Linked DNA regions of Tribolium castaneum. Each later gene encodes a partner of the first gene's protein in a complex. Links are inferred from orthologs where the notes say so. Each region holds a gene or a part of one and is shown in the gene's direction. Other genes may lie near its edges.

Region 1 (2,704 bases):
GCGTCGATTTTAAACGCCGAAGTACAAAGTACGCAAGAGGAAATGAAAGCGATCATGAACATGAAAAAGTTTTTTGGGGCAATTGTAGCTCTATTTATTGGTTATTTCATCAGTGTTGTCGTATTAATTGTGGAGAATGTTTACTTTCATTTCTTTGTCAAAAGGAATCCGCATTACAACAAATACACCAGAAGCATTCATCACGTAAAAAAAGCGGAGTAATTATTACATGCATTCTTTTAGACTGTTCTTGTACTTCATTACTTTATTAGGAAATTTCATTTGACTTTCTGAGAGATAACAACAACATTAGTACTAACCACGATATAGAGACAGACAGGTAAACCAACTCGCTATTATAATTGATTCTAACGCTGGAGCAAGTTGATAGACGGCAGCACGGTAGACTGGGACTGTCACAATTTCACAAATTTTCTTTGTTTTTTATAAAAAAAATGATGCGAAATTAAAAAATGTTATCTCAGCACCCAAGTTAGTCATCTTGTAACAACTTCTGCTTTTTTCGCGCTGAAATAATAATATTTTCTGAATAGTTCTAAACTTCGGTTCGATGCATTTTCGGCCGCGAAAGACATCGAAACATTGAAGTCAGAATAAATGCTTTCCAGAAAAAAAACTCCACTACCATTCGGTGCTGGCATCCTTCAGGTATTAATTGTTCTTCATAAATGTCGTATTTTTAACAACGTGATGCGTGTATCTTTTTTCTTGTAAACATTGTGACAGTCCCAGTCTACGCTGGTGCCATCTGTCAGATAAAATAAAAGCTCCAACTTGCTCCACATTTTGGTTTGCGCCCGACAATGGAAAATAAGGGAAGTTGGTTCACCAGGACTATCTATACATGGTGGTACTAACTGTGACAACTGTCAAAAGCAGCGTATTGGTGTAAAGTCAAAGCCCTCTTGACAATTTTTCCAAAAGTGTGATTACAGGCATTTATCAAACTTTTTGAGCAAAATAATCCTTCCTATTAAGAGTTGATTGAAATGTTTCACATCTTTGTCTTTGTCGTTTTCTCTTTGAAGTCACGCAAAATTTTCCCCATCTGCCCCCCTCAAAAATCTAAGTTGTGTCGTTAAGGGTAACTGTGACAAAAAGACCTATGACGATTCTGTGGGTGTAAGACAGCGCGCAACCCCTTATATATTAGTATAGTCATGTATAGTATAATTTATTAAATAAAAAACACGGTTTTCGCACTTTATTTTTAAATGATTTGTGAACTTGGCATTATTCAATTTCGCGCATGCGCCTTACTTTTGGCGCCAAAATTATTGAGGTTATTCAAACGTGAAAAATCTTCGACCATTGAAAAATGGATCCTGAAGAGGTTGAATTTTTGGGTGAGAAACAACTAGTCACGATTGTCCCACTGACCACAGACGATGACTACCTTAAACTAATTTCGGGTGATTTTGGCCCATTTCGTATGGGTATGCCTGTTAAAGTACCGTTATGGGTTGCTGTCCAATTAAAGCGACAAAAACATTGCAAAATACAACCCCCTGATTGGATGGAAATCGAGACTTTGGAGGCGATTAAAAACGAAGAGAAACTTTCTAGGTGTGAGTACTTTTGTTAGCCTTTAAGTGCAACAAAATTGTAGGAACTTTACGAAAATGCCCAGTAAGTTCTACATGGTCGAAGCGAAACAAATTTTGGGGTGCGCCTCTGATGATATTTCACGTGCGGATGAAATAAGAACGATAATTAAAGATATTTGGGACATAAGAATGTCAAAATTGAGGTCTTCAATTGATTTATTGGTTCGGAATAATGGGGCTTCTGCTGTCGTTACAAACTTAACTTTGATGGAAATTAATTCGATTAGACCGATTTTACCACACACTTTAGATCAGATACGCCGAATGAAAAACGTGAGTGATTTTTTCTAGTAAAAAAGGGAGGTTATGTGAATTTTTTAGTTTAAACCGTTTCACGGCTGGCGTTCCCAGGACACATCCTTTGTATCAGATTCACGGAGCTCCACTAGTTTTCACTCTTGATTATGTATAAAATCCAAATAAAATCTTTGAAATCTGTCTTCTGTCAAATTATTAAGGTTATGTCACCCGAAAGTTGGGTTATGTATTTTTAGAAAATTTTACATTTTTGTAAATAGAAATGTTTTAAATTGTTACAATGTCAGAGACTGAGCTTCAGGATGAAGAGCGCGAAGTTCTGTCGTCAATTTACGACGGAGACGACTGTTTTAAGCAGATTTCGTCCAACACCTTCCAATATAAAGTGAGTCATTTGGGGGCCCAAAACAATTACAATAACCATTTTTTCAGTATGGGGAGAGTGATGCTACGAAATCATTTCTATTGGAAATACAATGGGGTGAAAAGTACCCCAACGCAGCACCTAAAGTGAACATGGACACTTTTTACAATAAACACATGTAAGTGCTCCCCTTTGTTCAAAGTTCGTTCTCAAGTCGTGTGTTTAGTATCAAGCCTTTGAAAGACAAGATTGTGTCTGCGGTGGAAGAGGAGGCGCAACAGTATTTAGGAATGTCAATGACTTACTCCTTGTTTGAATTTATCAAAGAAAAATTTGAGGTGCTTATGTTGGAACAACCGGAAGAAATTGCGGAAACGGTTGAGAAATCACCTAGCCCCGAACTTGAACAAGTTAGTAATTTCATATTTAGTTATCCATGGAAATGAAAAGGCAT
Region 2 (4,429 bases), on another chromosome or scaffold:
ATGCAGCCCCTCGCCACGACGGAAGAGGAGCCCTCGGTGGACACCCCCCTCATGGTGAACAAGCGGGAAAGCACGGTTTGACAAGTGACTTCCCTGTAAACGCTGCCAAAGACAGGGTTCCAATAATTGTTTTAAGTATTCTTATATCTACCAACGAAATTGTACCAACAGGCTAAATTCACTGGGAACAAAGGGTTTACTTTTTTTCTTCCGGGAATTATTTACGCTTGGCAAAATTAACATATCTTGGAAGGTTTACGTGCTGTGAGGGTGGGGTTTCTTATTTTTTATTCGCTGGTGTACGTCGTCGCGAGTGGTTGTAAAAAAGATAAACTTATGAAAATGTTACTAGCTTCAAGGAAATCATTGTTGTATAGGCCGTTTTTGTCAAATGCGTTTTGCCTACTGAAAGTTTTTGTATTCGCTTCATTTATACGAGTGTTATTTTTGTATATTTTGTACATAAACCTAGGTAATGAAAATAAATGTGATAATTATAAATTATCTGAAGGATACGTCGATGTATCATTTTTTTCAAAAATAAATGCCAAGTCTGTTACTTAAATACGACTTTTTATATATCGTATAAGAGATTATATCAGAATTTGTACATGTTGTATATAACTGTATATAAATAACTATTTTGCCTTGTAAATATTACCTACCTTTAATTAAATCGAGTGTTCACGACTACATACCTACATTTTTTGTAATTATTTGAAGGGTGTAATGGTTATTCGTTATCCAATCAAATTTCATCTGTGAAAATTTAAATATAAATGTATTGAAAAAACAATGTTTTATTTCACCCATACCAATTTTTTTTACCTTCCACAAATTTTAGCAAAATAATGGTATGTGCCTGATGAAATTTATTACATAACATTTTGATATTTTACTATTTAATGGTAAAAATCATTTTCTCTGAATAAAATTTTATTAACTTAGTAAGTAGTCCGTTCACTGTAGAATTACACGTTCGTAATGTTGGTTGCATACCATTCATTTTTTCTATGTAGGGTTAAATTCATGATAAAAAATTCAATTTTGGGGCCTTATATTGCTATCTTTATTGTTATATCTTTAATAGAAAGGTTTAAATGCTGTAGTGCATAAGATGCATAAGATTTTCACAATGTCCGAATTTGAGAAATACGGGGAGCTCAAGCACAAGAACATCAAAATTTTGACCTTAAATTAATAACAAAATGTGAAACCTACCTTTTTCTCGATCTGGAACACACCCAACACCAATTCTGCACGATTTTTCACCAAAAAAAGTCTTAAGCAACAAACACCAACAAATTTTCACAACAAACAATAAAGCCACTTGATTTTTAAAACAAAATTCTGTGCGCATGCGGCTTTGTAGCTAAGGCAACTCCAAGCAGCCTTGAAAATAATGTAATAACGTAAACTTTATAAAATTCGGTTTTAACAGAATTTTTATCTACAAATCAACATTGTTACAAAGTTTTAATTTTACAAACAATGGGGTAAACAATCATTAAAACCACGTTGAAACTTTAGCCACTATTAACAAAGCGCGCGTCATCTGCAACCTCTTCCACGAACTACTTAGCGTTTTCCCGCCTTTTTTACAGCAACAACAGTTGGTTAATTGTGTAAAAAAACATTATCAACACATTTTTTGTTGTTTTATTTACGGTAAGTGATTAAATCAGCGATAACTCCACCTAAAAACCCAAATTAGATGTCTTCCCCAGCCCCCCATCGTACCCCTCGCGCAAACCGCGACGATGATGCGCCCACTCCTCGGGGACGCAGACCTGCCGGGGGTCAAACCCCTCGAGGTCACCGCACCCCAGCTCGTGAGGACCCTCCCCAAACCCCATCTCGGACCCCCAGACGGAACCCAACTCCTGCCAAAAGCGACACCATTGATACCCCAATGCGTTGGGGCGGAGCCCGACGTGATTTGGACGCCGACGGCGGGGAAATCCCCTCGTCTCCGGCTGGGGTCACAAGCCCACCGGTGGCAATGAGCGAGATTGATTTATCTTCGCCACTTAATTACGGGACTCCTTGCTCTTTGGGGTCCATCAGGACCCCCAGATCGGGGATTAGGGGGACCCCAATTAGGATGCGGCCCGATGTGAGGACTGATCGGAGGATGAGACAAGTTAATGTCGGAGGAGAGGTTCAACAACTGTTTCAAAAATTGAGCTCGTTTTGACTCGATTTTTTTAGTTGGATCCGGTTGCTGAGGGTGATGAGGGCAGTACAGCCCCGCATTTGGTCATTTGGGGCACTAATGTCTCAGTTGCTGAATGTAAAGAGAAGTTCAAACAGTTTGTTTTGCGGTTTATTGATCCAAATGCGGAAGAAGATGAAAGAACTGATGATATGAATGTTAACGAACCCTTGTATTTTCAAAAATTGGACGAGGTGCGAACCTTATCATGATCAAAGAGGCGTTGACTTTGTTATTACGTTGGCAATGCTATCAGATTTAAGCGTCAGACAAATTTAAAAAAAACAATCGTATTTGTCTTTTTTATCTGTTGCCAACTTAATTTCAAAATCATTGATCACAAACTTGATCGTGTAGCAATTATTTTTCGTAGATAAACACCCTCGAAGAGCCGTTTTTGAACGTCAACTGTTCTCACATTGAGACTTTTGACGCCAATTTATACCGCCAATTGGTTTCGTATCCTCAAGAAGTCATTCCAATTTTTGACATGATGATCAACGAAATGTTTTACGAGCGTTATCCTGCTGCTGAATTGGAGCACCAGATTCAAGTCCGGCCCTTCAATGCGGAAAAAACACGAAATATGAGGGCCCTGAACCCTGAAGGTTAAATTCCTTCCAAAAAAAAATCTTTTAATATAAAATTTTATTTTTTTGCACAGATATTGATCAGTTGATCACAATCACTGGCATGGTCATCCGTACATCGAATTTAATGCCTGAGATGAGAGAGGCATTTTTCAAATGTATAGTTTGTAACTTTACAACGACTGTGGAAATTGACAGGGGGCGCATTACCGAACCCACTCTTTGCACCAGTTGTAACACCAATCACTGCTTTACTTTGGTCCACAATCGGTCGCAGTTCACCGACAAACAGATGATCAAATTGCAGGAATCCCCGGGTATTTTTTTAATTTATGTTTTCTCCTCGGATTTATTTTTATTTTTTATTCTTAACCATTCTACAAGATGATCCCAGTTTATCTTCATCCATGATATTTCTTCTTTTCTAATTTATTTCAACTTTTTTATATTTTACACTGAAAAAAATTGTTTGAACTATAAGAAAAAATTTATTTTTGTCGCCAACCTCGGGAAGAATTGAAGATTTTTTATTATCTATCTTCTATTTAATCCACACTTAACACTTACCCACTTAACTAAACGTTACAGTTACATAAAAAAAACGTTTTCTAGTTAAATCATAAGCACAATTTTTTATTTTTTTTTATTATTATAATGTTTTTGGTCAGACGACATGCCTGCGGGCCAAACCCCGCACACCGTCGTCCTCTTCGCCCACAACGACCTGGTGGACGCCGTCCAACCGGGCGACAGGGTCACCGTAACGGGGATTTACCGAGCGCAACCCCTTCAAGTGAACCCCCGACAACGCAACCTTCGCGCGGTTTACAAAACACACATTGACGTCCTCCACTTCCGTAAAATCGACACGAAACGCTTATACGAAGAGGAGGACGGGTAAAAACACCACAGTGAAAAAATAACTCACTTCCCCTCTTATTCTTCCAGCAAAGACCATCGTTTTCCACCCGAACGGATCGAATTATTACAACTCCTTTCAGAAAAAGAGGATATTTACGAACGGCTAGCTCACGCTTTAGCGCCGTCGATTTACGAAAACGCCGACGTCAAAAAAGGGATTCTCTTACAACTGTTTGGCGGAACGAAGAAAAAATTTGTTACGTCAGGTCGTACGAATTTTCGGTCCGAAATCAATATTTTGCTGTGTGGAGATCCGGGAACCTCCAAGTCACAACTTTTACAATACGTTTATAATTTGGTTCCCCGAAGTCAGTACACTTCAGGGAAAGGCTCCTCAGCTGTTGGTTTAACAGCCTATGTGACCAAAGACACCGAGACTAGACAGTTGGTTCTGCAAACGGGGGCCCTAGTTTTGGCCGACAACGGCATCTGTTGTATCGACGAGTTCGACAAAATGAACGACTCGACTCGCAGTGTCTTGCACGAGGCGAGTTGAGAATTGTTTAGCAATTGATCAAAATTTAAACAGAGTTTTTACAGGTGATGGAACAACAGACTTTGAGCATAGCCAAGGCTGGAATAATCTGCCAGTTAAACGCCCGGACTTCAATTCTCGCGGCCGCAAACCCGTCCGAATCTCAATGGAACAAAAATAAAACCATAATCGAAAACGTGCAACTACCACACACTCTTTTATCGCGCT

The links.
Region 2: Psf2 (region 1) and dpa share a complex: the UniProt entries of both Homo sapiens proteins name them as parts of the CMG helicase complex. The link is inferred for Tribolium castaneum from reciprocal best matches to the Homo sapiens genes GINS2 and MCM4.

Annotation. Positions count from the first base shown.
Region 1 is NC_087395.1:26,564,314-26,567,017, reverse strand, and holds Psf2 (probable DNA replication complex GINS protein PSF2), read left to right. Parts: upstream 1-1,332; 5' UTR 1,333-1,339; coding exon 1,340-1,587; intron 1,588-1,630; coding exon 1,631-1,901; intron 1,902-1,949; coding exon 1,950-2,030; 3' UTR 2,031-2,066; downstream 2,067-2,704. Other genes in the region: glutamate receptor ionotropic, kainate glr-3, read left to right, coding at 1-218, 273-294; RWD domain-containing protein 4, read left to right, coding at 2,167-2,271, 2,319-2,428, 2,477-2,660. UniProt on the Homo sapiens protein: Required for correct functioning of the GINS complex, a complex that plays an essential role in the initiation of DNA replication, and progression of DNA replication forks.
Region 2 is NC_087396.1:22,083,848-22,088,276, reverse strand, and holds the start of dpa (DNA replication licensing factor MCM4), read left to right. Parts: upstream 1-1,510; 5' UTR 1,511-1,668; intron 1,669-1,714; coding exon 1,715-2,161; intron 2,162-2,211; coding exon 2,212-2,409; intron 2,410-2,588; coding exon 2,589-2,823; intron 2,824-2,879; coding exon 2,880-3,122; intron 3,123-3,473; coding exon 3,474-3,702; intron 3,703-3,753; coding exon 3,754-4,213; intron 4,214-4,266; coding exon 4,267-4,429. Other genes in the region: side-VII (neural cell adhesion molecule 1), read left to right, coding at 1-81. UniProt on the Homo sapiens protein: Acts as a component of the MCM2-7 complex (MCM complex) which is the replicative helicase essential for 'once per cell cycle' DNA replication initiation and elongation in eukaryotic cells.